Linked DNA regions of Callithrix jacchus. The protein of the gene in region 4 interacts with the protein of the main gene of each other region in a biochemical or structural test. Links are inferred from orthologs where the notes say so. Each region holds a gene or a part of one and is shown on either strand. Other genes may lie near its edges. The genes, in order: DLG4, SYNJ2BP, DLG1 and RALBP1.

The links.
Region 1: the proteins of RALBP1 (region 4) and DLG4 interact in a biophysical measurement, tested with the Homo sapiens proteins (2 studies listed by IntAct, with this or other methods). The link is inferred for Callithrix jacchus from reciprocal best matches to the Homo sapiens genes RALBP1 and DLG4.
Region 2: the proteins of RALBP1 (region 4) and SYNJ2BP form a complex in vitro, tested with the Homo sapiens proteins (2 studies listed by BioGRID and IntAct, with this or other methods). The link is inferred for Callithrix jacchus from reciprocal best matches to the Homo sapiens genes RALBP1 and SYNJ2BP.
Region 3: the proteins of RALBP1 (region 4) and DLG1 interact in a test that uses a peptide from one of them, tested with the Homo sapiens proteins (2 studies listed by IntAct, with this or other methods). The link is inferred for Callithrix jacchus from reciprocal best matches to the Homo sapiens genes RALBP1 and DLG1.

The regions. Positions count from the first base shown.
Region 1 is NC_133506.1:73,685,833-73,690,244, reverse strand, and holds part of DLG4 (disks large homolog 4), read left to right. Parts: intron 1-1,869; coding exon 1,870-2,165; intron 2,166-2,365; coding exon 2,366-2,468; intron 2,469-2,608; coding exon 2,609-2,723; intron 2,724-4,412. UniProt on the Homo sapiens protein: Postsynaptic scaffolding protein that plays a critical role in synaptogenesis and synaptic plasticity by providing a platform for the postsynaptic clustering of crucial synaptic proteins.
Region 2 is NC_133509.1:105,382,755-105,387,818, reverse strand, and holds the start of SYNJ2BP (synaptojanin-2-binding protein), read left to right. Parts: upstream 1-2,053; 5' UTR 2,054-2,158; coding exon 2,159-2,222; intron 2,223-5,064. UniProt on the Homo sapiens protein: Regulates endocytosis of activin type 2 receptor kinases through the Ral/RALBP1-dependent pathway and may be involved in suppression of activin-induced signal transduction.
Region 3 is NC_133516.1:25,086,361-25,090,772, forward strand, and holds part of DLG1 (disks large homolog 1), read left to right. Parts: intron 1-542; coding exon 543-644; intron 645-921; coding exon 922-1,094; intron 1,095-4,412. UniProt on the Homo sapiens protein: Essential multidomain scaffolding protein required for normal development. Recruits channels, receptors and signaling molecules to discrete plasma membrane domains in polarized cells.
Region 4 is NC_133514.1:53,472,906-53,477,862, forward strand, and holds the start of RALBP1 (ralA-binding protein 1), read right to left. Parts: upstream 3,255-4,957; 5' UTR 3,124-3,254; intron 2,789-3,123; exon of another isoform or gene 2,608-2,788; intron 1-2,607. UniProt on the Homo sapiens protein: Multifunctional protein that functions as a downstream effector of RALA and RALB. As a GTPase-activating protein/GAP can inactivate CDC42 and RAC1 by stimulating their GTPase activity.

The DNA.
Region 1 (4,412 bases), on a different chromosome or scaffold from region 4:
CACTCCAGCCTGGGCGACAGAGTGAAACTGTCTCAAAAGAAAAAAAATCCTTAAGGTCATAATAATACTTAAAAATATTTTGGAGGATGCTAGGAGATCTCATTCATTCTGAAATTGGTGAATAAAGGGAGAGAGACATGCAGAGAGAGGTATGAATTTATCCTTTCTTTCGTGTGCAGACTACCTCAGAGAGTAGCCAAAAGGTTGACATGGGGCTGTTCTTTTGTTGTTCGGAGGCAGATCTTGCTTTGTCGCCCAGCAGGCTGGAGTGCAGTGGTGCGATGTTGGCTCACTGCAACTTCCACCTCTTGGGCTCAAGCGATCCTCCCACCTCAGCCTCCTGGGTAGCTGGGATTACAGGTGAATGCTATCATGCTCAGCTAGCTTTTTATTTTGTAGAGATAGGATTTCACCATGTTATCCAAGCTGGAGGATTTTTTTTTTTTGAGAGGGAGTCTGGGTCTGTCGCCCAGGCTGGAGTGCAGTGGCACAATCTTGGCTCATTGCAACCTCCGCCTCCTGCGTTCAAGCAATTTTCTTGCCTCAGCCTCCTGAGTACCTGAGATTACAGACATGAGCTGCGATGCCCAGCCAATTTTTGTATGTTTAGTAGAGATGGGATTTCGCCATGTTGGCCAGGCTGCTCTCAAACCCTTGATCCCAAGTGATCTGCCTGCCTTGGTCTCCAGAGTGCTGGGATTACAGGCGTGAGCCATTGTGCCTGGCCTCGATTGTTATTTTTACAGAAGAATTCCCACTAATAAATGCTCCCTGTTCCAAAGAAAGAACGTAGTAGAATATCACTATTTCCAAGGTCCTGGTACACACCAGAGCTAGGAGGTGGTTGTCAGGTTGTAACTTACCTGAGAGGCTTATGGGGCACTTTATAATGGATGGAATGGGCTGAAGACCCCGAACCTCCCATTAATCTTATCTGACAGAATGACAACCAGACATTATTTCATCCTGTGGTGATGCCGTAGGAAGAACAGAGCACCACCTATGAAGTATACAGGACTTACTAAAAAAAATTCTGAATTGAACTTGAAACTAATCAAGCCTCAGAATTAACTGCCAGTTTACAGGAGATACAGGGGCAGAGGCAGAGGCTAAACCACATCACAGGAGAGTAAGCAGTAATTTCCCTGTTAGACTTTCCCCTAAACGCTGGTTGAGGTGGCTGATGCCTATAATCCCAGCACTTTGGGAGGCTGAGGCGGGTGGATCATTTGAGGTCAGGAGTTCGAGACCAGCCTGGCCAACATGGTGAAACCCCGTTTCTACTAAAAATACAAAAATTAGCTGGGTGTGCTCCTGTAATCCCAGCTACTTGGGAGGCTGAAGCATGAGCATTGCTTGAACCCAGGAGGCAGAGGCTGCAATGAGCTGAGATCGTACCACTGCACTCCAGCCTGGGTGACTCTGTCTAAAAAGAAAAGTTTTCCTCATAGCATGTGGGAAATTCTTTTAGATAAATGACCTAGTTTTTTCAACAAATGGATGGCAAGTGGGGGAAAAAAGAGGGAGAAGAATTTTATGGATCAAGAGATTTGAGAGACACAGGAACCAAAAGTAAACCCCAAAGCATGGTGTTAATGTTCCCCTTTGACTTGCCCATCCCTGACATACTGAGGACATATCATGTTCAAATCCTTTATCCCCTAGGACAATCAGCCTCTGATGTCGCCTATAAATTCCTGACCCCTGACGTCACTGATCTGATATCCCCTTCCACCTCACCCTGGCGTCTCTGGCAGAATACCTCCGTTCCACCTAACTGTGGCTCCCTTGGCCCCCCTGGGGAGAAGGTTGGGTGGCAGGTGCTGTTTCCCTCCAGGCACTTTCATCTCCACCCCATGTCTTCCTCAGCTTATTCCCAGCACCTGGACAATGAGATCAGTCACAGCAGCTACCTGGGCACCGACTACCCCACAGCCATGACCCCCACTTCCCCTCGGCGCTACTCCCCAGTGGCCAAAGACCTGCTCGGGGAGGAGGACATTCCCCGAGAACCGAGGCGAATCGTGATCCACCGGGGCTCCACAGGCCTAGGCTTCAATATCGTGGGTGGCGAGGACGGCGAAGGCATCTTCATCTCCTTTATTCTGGCTGGGGGCCCTGCAGACCTCAGTGGGGAGCTGCGGAAGGGGGACCAGATCCTGTCGGTGAGGAAAGGCCTGCCCCTCCCTGCACCATCCCCTCCCCATTGCTGCACCACTCCCTCTCTTCAGGGCACAGCGCAGAGCTCTTGCGGAGGGGTGTGGGTGAGCTGCAGCCTGGTCCTCTTGTGGGATCACTCCCTGCTCCACCTGGACCCAGAGGTGCTGGCTCCTGTCTCTGGTGACACAGCCTCTCCTCTCTCTAGGTCAATGGTGTTGACCTCCGCAATGCCAGCCATGAGCAGGCCGCCATTGCCCTGAAGAATGCGGGTCAGACGGTCACAATCATCGCTCAGTATAAACCAGAAGGTACCAGGCTGGAAACTCCTTGTCTTATGAGCTAAAATGGCCCTTAGGACTCTGCCTCTTCAGCCGATGGCTTCCGTGGGGGTGGAGAGGGTGGCAGTAGGATGGGAACAGAGCTCAAGAACCTCCCTGTCCTTCCTCAGAGTACAGCCGATTTGAGGCCAAGATCCATGACCTTCGGGAGCAGCTCATGAACAGCAGCCTGGGCTCAGGGACGGCCTCCCTGCGGAGCAACCCCAAGAGGGGTTTCTACATAAGGTCAGAGGCTCCCTGGGCTGGGCTCCTCAGCCTCTCCGAGTTCCTGGGCACTCTGTGTTCGGCCGCTCCTCCTCTCCACCCTGCCTGCTCTAGCTTTCACCCCAGGCCTGACCTGCAGCTGGGGTTCATGGGCTTGGTTGCACAGATTAACATTTGAAATACTCCCTGTCAATGGGAAAATCGCCTCTGCCCCAAGTATCCCAACTGCCTTCTAGCCCCGGTCATTGCAGCACTTCCCTGGGCTCCGAGACCATCCCGCAATTTGGCCCTTCGAAGGTTAATGTTTGGGGGAACAGCGGTCCTCTAGGGTATTTGGAGTGTTGCCCAGCCCTCACGTCCTTGTGGGCAGTCCTGGAGAGGTGGGCCGAAGCTCTGTTGTGCCTGCCTCCTGTCTCTCCAGTGGGATTTTGACCCCCTCTTAGGGCTCCTCTCCTTTGACTTTTTTTTTTTTCGAGATGGAGTCTCTAGCCCCTGTTGCCCAGGTTGGAGTGCAGTGGTGCCATCTTGGCTCACTGCAACCTCTGCCTCCCGGGTTCAAGTGATTCTCCCACCTCAGCCTCCTGAGTAGTTAGGACTACAGACACGCGCCACCACACCCAGCTTTTTGTTTTGTATTTTTATTAGAGACGGGGTTTCACCGTGTTAGCCAGAGTGGTCTCGATCTCCTAACCTTGTGATCTGCCCGCCTTGGCCTCTTGAAGTGCTGGGATTACAGGCGTGAACCCCCCGATTCAGGCCTCCATTGACTCTTTTGTGGCTTAGGTCCCTCCTGCCCCCACGGATCCCCCTCGCATCTGCCTCCTCTTCTCTCCCTCTCTGGTCCTGTGGCTCTCATGGCCTCGTCTCTTGCCCCGATCTGCAGATGTCTCTAGGAGCTGTCGGCCCTGGCTGAACTCTTTCCGGAGGTCGAGACCTGCACTTCTGGCCATCTGCTTTCTGGCCATCTCTACTGGGATGTCCCACAGGCGTCCCATACTCAACAGGTCCCCCGCTGAGCTCATCGTCCTGCTGTGGACCTGTTCCATCTTGCTGCATCAGCAGTTTCCCTCTTGCTGAGTGGCATCTCTGGCCACCCAGACGCCAGCTCACACCTGAGCCCTTGCTCTGCCCTTTCTCTGTGCTCAGGTCCAGTTGGTCCCCAAGGTTCTTCTGACTCCCAGTAACCACAGAGATTGTGTGGTGGCTCCCAGGGGGAATGTCTTCTGGTTGTCAGACTCTCAGGAGGCCTGGGGTCTCTTCCCTCCTCTCCAGGTCCATTGCTTTCCTCTGGATCTTCATTCCTTCTTTAGTTTCTGATGCCAGGAGTTGTGACTTATAGGGATTTGATACTAGTAAGGGTAACCATGATTTGCAGACACGGGACCTTTCTTTTTCTTATTAATTTGGACAGATTCAAGGTTACCCCTGTGACTTTATGATGCGCACATGTACTGCAAACTGTTTTCTTGAGAGGGTGGAGTTCCAGCTCTCCCTCTGGAAACTGTACTCAGTGTGGGCTGAATGATGGTTAATAGTTGTGGTGGTTACGATTACAGTCAGCGTTTGGTCCCCACACAGTTTTGGGTTACTCAGCACCCATTGTGGCCATGGGAGTGCCATCCACAGATCTCTGGGCTGGGTCTCAGGGTGACTGATGCAACCTTCCTGGGGTCCTCAGCCGGGCTCTGACCAGTAGCCACTTGCCCCCCA
Region 2 (5,064 bases), on a different chromosome or scaffold from region 4:
TTCTATTTGATCTTTTCTCTTCTGACATTACAATGTCATTTATTTAATTTAATTAATTTATTTTATATAGAGTCTCGCTCTGTTGCCCAGGATGGAGTGCAGTGGTGTGACTTCAGCATACTACAATCTCCATTTCCCAGGTTCAAGTGATTTTCCTGCCTCAGCCTCCCATGTACCTGGGACTACAGGCCCGCGCCACCATACTTGGCTAATTTTTTTGTATTTTTAGTAGAGATGGGGTTTCACTATGTTGGTCAGGCTTGTCTCAAACATCTGACCTCAAGTGATCTGCCCACTTCGGCCTCCCAAAGTGCAGAAATTACAGGTGTGAGCTACTGCACCCGGGCCCCAATGTCTTTTTTTTGTATTTTACTTTTTTTCATTTATCATTCTCTGCCTTTTATAATGATAATTTTATTCACTCACCCAACCAACATGTAAGGAACCATTATCAATCCCTTTTTAAGATGGGGAAACAGAGTTCAGAGATGTTGGGTTCCTTGCTCGAAGACAGACAAGTGTTAAGGGAATGGAATGGAAACTTGAGCTCAGGTCTTAAGGCATAATCTGTGTTCTTTCCACTGTTTAATCTTAACTTCTCTCAGAGGGAGCAAATAAGAGGCTTCCCTGCCAAATCTGCCCCCATCTCCTCCAGTGTTTCTGTGTGATAAACATGGTAGCTGCTGCTTTGGTGTTTTGTTGTTGTTGTTGTTGTTGTTTTTTGAGATGGGGTTTCACTTTTGCTGCCCAGGCTGGTGTGCAATGGCGGGTTCTTGGCTCACTGTAACCTCCACCTCTTGGGTTCAAGGATTTTCCTGCCTCGGCCTCCCAAGTAGCTGGGATTACAGGCCTGGACCGTCACATCCAGCTAATTTTTTGTATTTTTAGTAGAGACAGCGTTTCTCCATTTCAGTCAGCCTGGTCTTAAACTCCCGACCTCAGGTGACCCACCTGCCTTGGCCTCCCAAAGTGCCGCTTTGGTTTTTTACTCTGAATTTGAATGTCTTTATATTGGCCTTGCACTTTCTAGTACTCTAAGATCCCCACCAATCCCTGTGGTCCTGGCTCTTAAGGCTTTTGTGTTTTTGACCCCTTAAGTTTCATTCAAGTTCAGTTTCGAATGTCTCATTCCAAAGGTCAGAAAGACTGGGCTAAAGTCTAAGTCGTGCATTAACCTTATTGTAACGGTTAAAAAATTAAAAAGATTGAATTTTCCCAGTTGCCAAAAGGATGAGACATTCCCCCACACCATTTCTTAAAAACTTTTCTTGAGCAAATTGTGATTATAATCTGTGCGTGTGTGTGTGTGTGTGTGTGTGTGTGTGTGTGTCTTTTTAAAAGCTAAATACCCAGGTACAAATAAAAAAATAAAAAATAAATAAGCCTCTTGTCAGATAAAAACCAGGAATTTTTTCCTAAGGTCCCAGGAGCCAACTCCTTGAAATGTAGGTATCAAGATAGCGCCCCTGTGTTCCACACTGCAGGAGTTAATCTAAGCACCTTGCTCCAAGCTTTAAATACCTGTTTGTCACAGAGATAACGTTTTATTTTTCCTTTGGATAAAGGCAACTAGCCAACACAGACGGCCACTCCAAGGGTAAACTACCAAAAAATTGAATACGAAACTATGTCAACTCGTCTTCCACGAGTACATGCGTGTGCTTTGGCTACATAAAAGATGAGATTTTCGTCTCTCTTTGCAATCTTATTAGTGGATTGCCTGTGACACCATTCCAGTCTGGTTCGATGCTTACAGAATAATACAACTTTTTTTCCTTTTCTACATTTGTTTAGATTTTCTAGGACGGCAGATTTTATTTTCTTTTTATTTTTTCTCGACAATATCAATTTGTTTAGGTCCCTTACTTTTACTAGCCACCCCCTTCCCACCTGCTTTCAATGGCAAATTAGAATGGTGGCTTGCCCCTTGCTCACCTCTTGCTTGACTTTGGGAAGCGGTGAAAAACTGCAACCCGTGGGCAGTAAGAACCACGATTCCCAGCATTCCCAGCGCTCCGAGTCCTTTGAACTTCCTTTTCCGGGTCTCGAGGCTGCTGAAACCGAAAGTGCTGTGCTGTGGGCGCAGCGCCGAGATTGATTCACCTTCACCTGCAGAACTCCAGCTGACCCACGTAGGAAGCCAGGCAAGCTGTAAAACATGAACGGAAGAGTGGATTATTTGGTCACTGAAGAAGAAATCAATCTTACCAGAGGACCCTCAGGTATGTGCGGAACAGGTCATTATCGGATAGTAGGGGATTAGAGGAGGTAATTGCCGACACCTCTGCTGCTGAGCGGGATTCACCTGGCCTCGGGGCAGGCAGGCCCCAACCTAGAGGTTTCCTGCAAAGCTTTGGGGTGCTTAGAGAAAATATATTGAATTCCATCATTAGCCAGATACGGGTCTGAGGAATCCACCTCAAAATCCAGTCGGGTGGCCACAAATATATATAGTCAAAAAGGGGTTCTTTCTGCAAATCCTGCTAGAAAAGCCTTTTTTAAAGCCTGCTTTTTTTAGACAGCTTACCTTGGGCACCACATCCTTCCGTTGCCTGTTCTATCACTCCCCCTACGAGGGATCGTTTAGTAAATTGGGAGCATAAACGGTGTGAACTCTGAATGCATAGCCGTTTTCCTCCAGCTGGGAACCCTTCCTCGCTCCTTTCGTTTCTGGGAAATTCATTTAGAGCGTCAACTAGAATGTTAAATCACGAAGAGCCCTTAGAAATCTTTTATTTACACAGTTTCCCTAACTTGGTTCTGCCACCAAATTACCCAGGGCTTTTTGGTTTTGCCTTTTATTTAAAAAATAAAAAAAGTTTAATTCCTGTGTCATTTGCAGGGATTTGGATTCAAAATGGGTGTGTCTGTGTGTATGTGTGTGTGTGTGTGTGTGAGTGTGTGTGTGTATATATATATATATATATATATATATTTTTTTTTTTTTTGTAATGAACACCTCATGTGATTTTGAGTAGCCAAACTGCTATCCTCTTCCTCCACTGAGGCTCTTCATTAAACCCGGCTCTTGACGTTACTGCGTTCTGCCTTCTATGGACTTTGTTGACTTTCCTTTACAGCTGTTTAGTTCATTGGTTAAAAGCTTTAGCTTTGGAATTACAGTATCTGGGTCCAAATCTTCTAACCTCTTACTGGTTCTTTGGTACTTATTGGCTATCTTAAGTGATGTAAGCCTTAGTTTACCATTTCTAAAATGGGGATGGTTGTAAATACACTTCGTAATGTTGTGAGAATGATGGAAAATGTTTACAACATTGCCAGACCCATGGTAGGCAGTGTCTCCTATTGTTATTGTTAATGGATGAATGGCTTAACTGACACAGTAAATTCTAATATTGTATTCCAAGAGTCTTTAATAAATCATCAAGTACTATGAGCTTCATTTCTGAAATGTTCCTGAAATTATTTCACTGCTATTTCCATTGCCACTACGTAAGGCAGTGCATCACCTTTTCTCATCTGCAGTTCTGCAGTAGCCTAATCATCATGGATAGATTATTCTTTATAAAATAGGACTTTCAGAATTACCCATACGTTGTGTCTTCTCTTCTTTTCTTTTCTTTTTTTTCTTTTTTGAGACAGGATCTCACTCTGTTGCCCAGGCTGGAGTGTAGTGGCACGATCCGAACTCACTGCAGCCTCTCCCTCCCAGGCTCAAGCAATCCTCCCATCTCAGCCTTTTGCGTAACTGGTACCACAGGTATACACTGCCATGTCTGGCTAATTTTTTTGCATTTTTAATAGAGACGATGTTTCGCTATGTTGCCCAGGCTGGTTTCGAACTCCTGAGTTCAAATGATCCACCCACCTCAGCCTCCCAAAGTGCTGGGATTATAGATGTGAGCCACTGCACCTGGCCTTCCTTTCTATTATAAAAAATTGGAAGTTGGTTTTACTTATTGGAATATAACTCATCACTAATATCATTATTATTATTTGTTTTTAGAGACGAAGTCTCACTTTGTTGCCCAGCATGGTCTTGAACTCCTGGACTCAGGCAGTCTTCCTGCCTTGGCCTCCTAAAGTGCTGGAATTACAGTCGTGAGCCACCACGCCTGGCTTGTCGCTAATCTTAATGGGTTAATGTCATGCTCCATTTGTGGACCGAAATTTTAGTCAAAGGCTCATTTGGTATGCCCAAGTTTCTTGGATTCATTTTTTTGCTATTTTATATAAATTTCTCCTTCACTCACTGTTAATATTTATTGACTTTTGAGGTTAACATAGAAAGTTACTTTTAAACCAAAATCTGTTTTTCTGTACTTTTCATTCATTGATAATTTGTTTTCTTAGTACCATTTAAAACAATGCTAGTTCCTTTTCTGATTGCTGTGCAAGTAGTAAAGGCTCTAGTTGTTCTGCTCCTGTTTTGCCACTTTCTTCTTTAGCCTAAATATCTTCAGTTATTTTTTATTTTATTTTATTTTATTTTTTTGAGATGGAGTCTTGTTCTGTTGTCAGGCTGGAGCTCAGTGGTGCCATCTTGGCTTACTGCAACCTCTACCTCCCGGGTTCAAGTGATTCTTCTGCCTCAGCCTCCCGAGTTGCTGGGGCTACAGGCGCATGCCACCACACCCAGCTAAGTTTTGTATTTTTAATAGAGACGGGGTTTCACCATGTTGGCCAGGATGGTATCGATATCCTGACCTTGTGATCTGCCCGCCTTCGTCTCCCAAATTGCTGGGATTATAGGCGTGAGCCACCGTGCCCAGCTCTTCACTTATTTTATTACCTCTCGAGATGTTTGAGATTTGATTTTTGCCTTTTGTTTAAGAATTTAATGTACTTTGACATAGTCCTTTTGCTGTGGCATCCACAGTGTTTTCAGATCTCCTGTCTAAAGCAGAGCAGAACCCTGATACTATCTCTTGTTCTAAACATGAAATCTTCTTAAAATTTAGTATAATGTCACTTCATCTTTTTTGGCATTTACAGTCATAAATTTCCTAGTGTTAGTATTTTCCCAAAACATTGGCATTGGCATTAGGACAAGCTTCAAGGACTATTTAAAGGGAATAATTATATCTAGCTAATATATTTCAC
Region 3 (4,412 bases), on a different chromosome or scaffold from region 4:
CCAGGCACTATTGTACTTCTTTCTTATTTATGACCTGCTCTTCGTCCCTTCTACCACAATGTTAGTTCTCGGCCTCACTCCCCATCTCCATTCTTCCAGCACGATCTTATGCAACCTAGAGTTTACACTTCTTTAGATCATCTTTCTAAAACACTACTGTGATTATATCACTTCCTACATCTAATTTCTCTTCTGCCCTTCTTTGCTCTGCTTCCTTACAATTTCTACTTCAAAACTGTCTGTAAAACACTATATGTTATTCTGTCATTTGCAATGTAAATAAACATAATCTGCTAAACTACCAAATTTAACTTTGAATTATCAAGTGTATGACTTCTAGCAGGAGACTGAGTAAACTTTAAGATCTTAGTCAAGATTATAAAACAGCAAATTAGGCATCTTTGGTTGACGGAAAAGGAAGATGGAGGAGGAAGAAAAAAATTCTTTGTAACAGTTACGGATATTTTTGTTCTCTGGTGAAATAAAATATATCAATATTTGTTAAATGTTTATTCCTTTTAACATGCAGTTTATCTTTATAGTTAATTATACTCGACCAGTGATCATATTGGGACCTATGAAAGACAGGATAAATGATGACTTGATCTCAGAATTTCCTGATAAATTTGGATCTTGTGTTCCTCGTGAGTAACCCAAACAAAAACATTTAATTATTTAATTATTAATTGTTATTCTTAACATTTCCTGTCACTATGTGTGGGAAAAATAAATATAACCTTTTTTTAATGGTTTCTACTTATTTTATCAGTTACTCTTTTATCCTCCATATTATTGTCCTTTCTCAGATTTAAATTAATTTGATCTGTTGAACTTTACAAAACAATGATAAAGTGGAAAATGGATTTATTGTGGGGTTTTTTTTAAATATTAAACACTTCCCCAAGTTTTCTTCTGTTAAAGATACAACTAGACCAAAGCGAGATTATGAAGTAGATGGAAGAGATTATCATTTTGTGACTTCAAGAGAGCAGATGGAAAAAGATATCCAAGAACATAAATTTATTGAAGCTGGTCAGTATAACAATCATCTATATGGAACAAGTGTTCAGTCTGTGCGAGAAGTAGCAGAAAAGGTAAGCATCAAACTAACCCCAGAATATAGCTTCTAATCAGATATGCCTTTGACAGAATGAAAGAGTGGTAGAGTAGATACAGCACTGATCAGTTTTATTAATGTAATGAATTTGTTTATCTAAATATTTAATTTTACGTGACCTAGGAAAGTGCATAGACAATAAAATAGGTAGACAAAGTGAGAGGAGAAGTTATCATTGTAAGGTCATTTGCTAGAGATAGACCAAGAAAGACAGGAAGGAAGGAAAAAAAGGAAAGAAAGACAGAGAAAGAGGGAGGGGGAAAGAGAGAAGAAAGAAAAAGGGAGGGAGGGAGGGAAAAGAAAAGAAATAAAGAATCTGACCACTTAATTTTTTTAAAACCGACCAGGCATGGTCGCTCACCCCTATGATCCCAACACTTTGGGAGGCCAAAGCAGACAGATCACCTGAGGTCAGGAGTTCAAGACCAGCCTGACCAACATGATGAAACCCCGTCTCTACTAAAAATACAAAAATTAGCCGAGCGTGGTGGCTCATGCCTGTAGTCCCAGCTACTCGAGAGGCTGAGGCAGGAGAATTGCTCGAACCCGGGAGGTGGAGGTTGCATTGAGCAGAGATCGCGCCAGTATACTCCACCCTGGGTGACAGAGCAAGACTCTGTCTCAAAAAAAAAATTTTTTTAACTTAATTTATGGCGAAAGAACTTTTCCAAAAACTACTGGAAAATACCATTAACAATGTCAAAAGGCAACTGACAGAGAAAAACCTTGCAAGAAAGGGGCTGATAGTCCCACTATGTAAAGACCTCATAAAAACAGGGAATAGAGGCCAGAAACCTAAGAGAAAAAAAATGGACAAAAGATGAGAATACATGGTTCACACAAAAATACAATATAAAAATGGCCTCTGTACAGAGGAAATGATGTCCAGCCATAGTCATTATTAAAGAAATGTAAATTGGCTGGGCATGGTGGCCCACGGGTAATACCAGCTCTTTGGGAGACCAGGACGGGTAGATCACCTGAGATTAGTAGTTCAAGAACAGCCTGGCCAACGTGGTGAAACCCCATCTCTACTAAAAATACAAAAATCAGCCAGATGTGGTGGTACACACCTGTAATTCAAGCTACTTGGGAGACTGAGGCAGGAGAATCACTTGAACCCAGTAGGCAGAGGTTGCAGTGATCCAAGACCACACCACTGCACTCCAGCCTGGGCAACAGAGAAAGACTCCATCTCAAAAAAAAAAAAAAAAAAAAAAGAAAGAAAGGTAAATTAAAATTACTCTAAATTCCATTTTTCCCCTATCCTACTGGGGGAGAAATATGAAGACATTTTCTTGGTGAGGCTGAGAGCAAACAGACAGTCGTGCATTGCTGGTGGAGATGCAAACTGGTGCTGCCTTTGGAAGGGTATTTGGCAATATCCAGCAGCTATCCTTCAGCCCAGCATTCCACGTCTAGGAATTTATTCCAGAGATACCCCCAACAGTATGAAAATACATGGGCAAAGGGGCATTTATTGTAGCATTGTTTATAATTGTGAGATACTGAAAACTATCTAAATGCCCAGATAAAAGAGTGATTGAACAATTAATTTTACATTCACAAAATGAAGTTCTCTAAAACTGTTAATAAAGAAGGTATCTGGGGCCGGGTGCGGTGGCTCAAGCCTGTAATCCCAGCACTTTGGGAGGCCGAGGCGGGTGGATCACGAGGTCAAGAGATCGAGACCATCCTGGTCAACATGGTGAAACCCCGTCTCTACTAAAAATACAAAAAATTAGCTGGGCATGGTGGCGCACGCCTGTAATCCCAGCTACTCGGGAGGCTGAGGCAGGAGAATTGCCAAAACCCAGGAGGCAGAGGTTGTGGTGAGCTGAGATTGAGCCATTGCACTCCAGCCTGGGTAATAAGAGCGAAACTCGTCTCAAAAAAAAAAAAAAAAAGAAGGTATCTGAACTGATAAAAGAAAATGGGAAAATAGATATCTCTACTCAGTTGTATGAAAACAAACACAGGAAAGGTAAATCAGAACTTGATGAGATTGGTTACCTACAGAGGGAAGTAGAAAGGATGGGGAATTTGGAATGGATTGGAAAGGATTAGGTACGACATTTCTCTGAGCATACATATTTGTATTATTTTAATTTTAGAAAATATGTTAATATTTTACATATTTTTAAAACTCAAAAATAAAATCAAAGAAAGATGGGGGAAAGCAAAATGATATACAAATAGAAACTAAATAAACCTGACTGTATTTCAGATGAATAACTTAACTACATTGAGAAGGAGAGAATTCTTAATCCCAGAGATTCTTTAACACAAGCTGAAAACAGAAAGATCTGTAAACAAAATCAAACTCTAATTAGTAGGTTTGTTGTGTGCAGTGTATGGGCTTGTAGTTCTGAAACTAATATATATTCTGGGGTTGATCAAGTAAACTAATATAGTGACAGTAGTGAAAGTGGGGCTTGCCTGTCAGAAAAAGGGAGAAGGTAAAATGAACTCTGTGATAATTGGATTGGAAATACTAGACGATTAGAGCTATGACTATGAACCCATGAATTGTAATAGAGTAGATAGAGAAATAGATGTGTATTTATATGTATAGACATATATGTTTATTTGCTCTATCCATTGAGAAGACCTAAAAGTAACACTCAATAAGCAATGAGAATATCTGTTGCCCAGATGTTGGCTTCTAAATATAATTCTTTATTTAAAAGATCTAGGACTCTTTAGATAAATGGCTGATTCTGGGGCCAGGACTGGAAAAGTTCAAGATGATCCTATAAAAACATTTGCTTCCTGAAAAATAAGGAAGCACTCAATGATGAGGATATATAAAAAGACACAGGAACCAAGCTGTAGAGTTCCCCACTGGCCAAGTCTGAGATAATTTGAATATCAGAATAAGTGATAATAAAGATTATAATACATAGAGTAAAATAAAAATTTTAGAGTCCATAATGACATAAACACAGATGGCCCCCAACTTAGCATGGTTCAACTTTACAGTGGTGTAAAAATGATGCATATTCAGTAGCAGCCATATTTGAAGTACTATACAACCATTCTGTTTTTCACTTGTAGTACAGTAGTCAGTGAATTACATGAAAAATTCAACACTTAATTATGAAACAGTTACGTTGGATGATTTTGTCCAACTGTAGGATAAGTGTTCTGAGCATGATTAAGGTAATCTAGGCTAAGCTATGTTGTTCAGTAGGTTAGGTATATTAAACACATTTTCAGTTTATAGTACTTTAAACTAGTGATGGGTATTTTGGGATGAAACTCCCATCATAAGTCAGAGAGCATCTGTGTGTGA
Region 4 (4,957 bases):
ACTGAGACCTTCTCTCAAAAGAAATTTAAAAATTAAAAAATAAAATAAAAATCATATCCTGTCTCTTTTCTCATTAAAATACATAAACCCTATTATTATCTATAGGAAAAAATGGTAAGGTCCTTGGAATGGCATGCAATACTTTTGAAGATCTGTGCAACCTCATCTTCTGCTACTTACCACCACAACTAATGCTACAGCTACAGTAAACAAATTTCCATTCTCAAAAGTGTTCCATGTTCTTTCTTTTTTTTGTCTTTTTCTTTTTTCCTTTTTGTGGAGAACAGGGTCTCACTATATTGCTCAGGCAGGTCTCAAACTCCTGGGCTCAAGCTATCCTCCTGCCTCCACCTCCCTAAAGCTGGGAATACAGGTGTGAGCCGCTGCATCCAGTGTTCCATGTTCTTTCTCACCTATATGTCTCTGTCTACATTTCCCTCTCCAAGTTCCTTCCCCACCCCAGCCCCAGCCCCCTAATTTCTGCATCGGTCATGAGTAAGCCTGCTTTAAGCTTAAGGACATAAAGTATACAGTACCGAATATAGCGCCAGACATATAGCAGAGGGTTAAAAATGGGCTGAGTTGACTTAGGTTTTTTTCTTCGTCCTCTCAATGACTTCTATTTGCTTATAAGATAAAACTGCAATTACTTCGATGTCTGCAAGACTATCCACAATTTGCTCTGCCTGTCTCCCCAGTTTCAGGTCTTGCCACCACTCTGTATTATATTTGCTATTTTTGCAGATGCTACTCTGTAATTTTACACTCCCATGCTTTTTCTCACACTGCTCCTTCTACCTAAATGCCCATTCTTTCTATGCCTGTACACTTGTTATTTTCATCACCTTCTATATATATAGTTTTTCCTTACAGCTTCCCCCTTCTTCAGTTCTCCTTTTCTTCATTTTAAGAAACTGAACACTAACTCCTTAGAACATCTACTATACCCTCATCTGTTCTTCAATCAATACAAGCTTGTACTTGTTGACAATTAAAGAGAGAAGGTTCAACTACCCTAAAGGCAGGGACATTGCCTTATCTATCTTTAAGTCCTCTTGCCTGGTCACAATAGTTTCTACATAGCAATTCCTGTATTCTAAATAATCTGCATTTTTCCTCATTCCCTCTTACATATACTAAGTTTCTATAGGGATCTTCTTTCAAAACACAAAGCACATTCTTTTAGGTTACATTCTTGGCCCGATTTCTTCTTGCCAAGCAAACAACCATGTAACTATAACTGTACAAATTAAAGTTACTATGCACTTTCTGATACCATTTTCCATTCTAAATTAGGGGAGAAATTCATATTTTGAAGAGATAGCAAACTAAGTTGTATTACATTGTTTCAAGTTACCTTGTTTAAAGAGTTACTTCTCAAAAGCTACTGTTAACTAACCTACCCCACTCATCTACCAGATACTCTGAATGAAAAGTGAGAACCATTCTACTGACCTTCCAACCCTTATTACCACCACTCCAGCTTACAGTAATTATTCATTATCAGAAAGACAGAAAGGAGTTATCAAATCACCAAAATAACTCTAAAAACAGAAAGTGATCTTTCTTATTCACAGTCCCATTTATTCATTTAGAAGTGCTGCCTCTCTGAGCACCAAATCAAAACCTTATCACAAGTTCAGTATTTCGTGAATAACTGCCAAGTACGATGGAATGCTCCCCAAAGTATTGCAGCATTAGAACATGACCACTCTACTAAATAAAAAATCCAGCGAAAGCTTTTCTAACAAGGCTGGATGGTGCGCTAACTAAACGACCAAACGGCTGCACTTCCTGTACATGCACGTTCAAAATACCTCGAATTAACACTAGGGATCTTGAAGAACTGTACTAGGCCTTGCTCAAGAGGAAGAAGGCTATGTAACACTGAATCCCAAAACTTGAAACAGCAGGATTACTTCAGGGAAGTCGGAGGTGTGAAATAATTCTGTAAAACCTGTTTCACTCTCACAACGACCAGTTTTCTAAAAAGAGAGAGAAAGCTGACCTCAATTAAGAGCATTTTGGCAGAGACATGAGTTTTGAAAGAATTCTCAACTCCAGATCCGTCCCTTCATTCCAAATGAAACCTGAAGGAAGGACCGCAGCACCCAAGGGCGCTCACTGCTCAGTGACAGCGGAGAGCGACACCAGGAGCCTGTCCTGGTTTCCTGGGAAAACCCCAAAGCCCGGCCACTATGCCGGGCACGACCCACCAGCCGTGAGGGCTGGGTCCCCTGGTCTCCGTCCAGGCGTCCCCAAAAGCTCCCCCGAGGCCTGGAGACTCCGAGGGAGACTCAGCTACTAACTCTCCGCCCCCGGCCCCCGAGAGCACCACAAACGTGGATGCCGCGAAGGGAGGCCCTTCGGCCAGAGGGAGCGACGAACGGCCAGGAGGGCGAGAACTGGGACGAAGTCTTCCCGGGAGGAACCGACGCCGGGGGCAGCCACGCCCACCACCCCCAACTTCAAATTCCAGCGCGGCGAGCGCCGAGCCCCACACGCTGCCTGACAGACGAGGGCGCGAGGCCGGCGCCGGAGAGGGCTCCTCGGGCATGCCAGGGGCATCGCCGCGACCCTCGCACGCGACAGCTCCCTGTGACTAACCTGTACCTGCCGCCGCGCGACCGCCCGCCCCGCCGCAGCCGCCACCTCTTCGTGCTCACGCTGCTGCCGCAGCCACTGCAGCCGCCTCCTGCGCTGCGCCCCAGGCCGGCCTCGAGCGCCCCATTCCCACCCCGCCCAGCCTCCGCCTGTTTACAATGATTGGGACGGAACGAGACGAGCCGGTCCAGCGCGCACGCGCACTCCCTCCTCCCGCCGCAGCCGGCTTCCCGGGTCCTCCTCTCAGCTCTGACGGCTGAATCCGTCAAGGGCAGGCGCCCTGTGCCCTCGCGCGGGGTGCACTGGGAGGCGTAGTTCTTCAGACCCCGGCGTCCAGTCAGCCAGAAGGCCTCTCTCCAAGGAAGAAAACTACAACACCCAGGAGGCACCGCACCGCCTTCGTCCTGGCTCGTTGAGCTGACAGACTGAGGGAGAGCGCGAGAGAACGCGCCGAGCGCTAGTGCTCTGCAGGCGCCTGCGCAGTCGCTGGCCTTGCAGGACCCCAGGACGGACGCCTACCCCTGTGTATTGCTGGCGAGGGTGGTTTGCGGGCATCTCCTGCCACAGCCTTGAGGACAGAAAGAGCTTTCCTCTCCACGCTCTGGTCAGCCTGCGCCTCAGCTACCAAAGTTGAGAGCTTTCTTTGTGCCGGCGTGTTTCAGTCGTTCCAACCAGTTAAACCAGCCTGGGGGCCGTCCGGCCTGCCGCTGGGTGGGGCAGCTGCCCCGCCTTCGACTGGGTGTGGGGTTGGGGGAAGGAGCGTCTTAGGCCTGTAGGGAGAGACGGGAATAAAGCTCGGTCGGGAGCATCCACAGAATTTCTGAAGCGGGTGTTGGCTCCTGCGGGGACTTGGAATAGACGGCCCTTCCCTGTCACTCGCATTCCTACTTGCAGGACTCTCTGGAAAATCGTTGTCCAATAGATTGGCAGCTGCTATCCATCTTGCTCTCTTGCTCCCACACCGGCTTTTCTCAAAGCAGGCAGTAAATTTGTCCCTAGTACTCTGCGCTCCCTACCCATCAAAGTTCAACCTCAGGGGTCTTAACACAGGGGCCTTCCACGAGTGGATACGGGATAGTCTTTGGCTTTCGGGGCCACTCGCAGTAGAACAGTCTCCTCTGATCTCTGGGTTGGACAGGTAAGCATGGCAGTGATAATTTCCTGCCTGTGGCAGCACTGATTGGGCCGCAGAGGGGGAGCAGGGGGAGATTTTTGCTGAGGCAGTTGCTGATGGACATGTTTCCTGCATCATCAAGTGGCCTACCCAAAGATGAGGGTGTGATAGAGAAGAAATGAGAAATGGAAAGGGAGAAAGAGCTGGCAGAATGAAGACTGTGCTTTTATTTGTTTTTTTGCAGCTCTTTAAGTGCTGTGAGCATGTGAGCCTCAGTGGGTGAGCCCACTAATTCATTCATTATTTGGAGCCAATATGTGTGGATGTAGCATATATTTGTTGACTGCCTCTTGAGCATTTATTCCTCCCATTTTAGCCTCACCACCATTCCATCTAGCAACAGAGATGGTCACAAACCCAATCAGAAACAATGAACCCACAAAGACTTGGGCTGGGGCTTCTAGTAAACTGTAGCTCCTTGCTCCTCTAGTATGGTGTAAGTATATGACGTCTAGAAATATGGCAACCATTTTCCTCCTATAAGGAGAAACCCTAGAGAGATGAGAGTTTAGAGGGAAGGCAGCAGTAGAGCCTGAGGTTGAAGTCAGTACTGTCAAATGGGTGCGGGAAAGATGGAGAAGAACCTTGTGTTTGAGGCCTGGTTTGAGCTGCAGTAAACCTCACGTGTTTGATTCTATGTACTATCCTGTAGACTATTCTGGATTGTGTGCAAGGGCCATTTTACAGACTATCCAGAATTGTGAGCCACAAATTTCCTGTGTTGTTCAAGCCAGTTCATATTAAAATTCTAAAAGTTCTAACTAATTAAGTTGGATTTCTTTTACATGACACTGAAAGGTCCTATTATAGGTTCCTACATAAAAAAACTGTGGAAGGAATGTTCAGCTATGGCTGTGTGGCATAGTCAGCAATTCTCTGCACACAAAATCAGTATTAAACTGGACAAAATTGGCTAAAACAACCATTTCAGAGCACTGGAAATCAAATACAGAAAACAATTTGAGAAGCATTTATTCTTGAAAAACTGCTAGAACTTCTAGCAGAAATAGATGTCTGTGGCCTTCTGGCCTGAGGCTGCTTCTCTCCCACCCTGTTGCACCAGAACTGCAGTTTTGCCAGTGTGGGTAGGACTAGCCAAGAAAACTAGCAGCTTTGCTGCCAAAGGGAAGGACTCAATTTGTGGTGGGAGGTAAAAAACCCAAGGCTTTGCCACTAAAA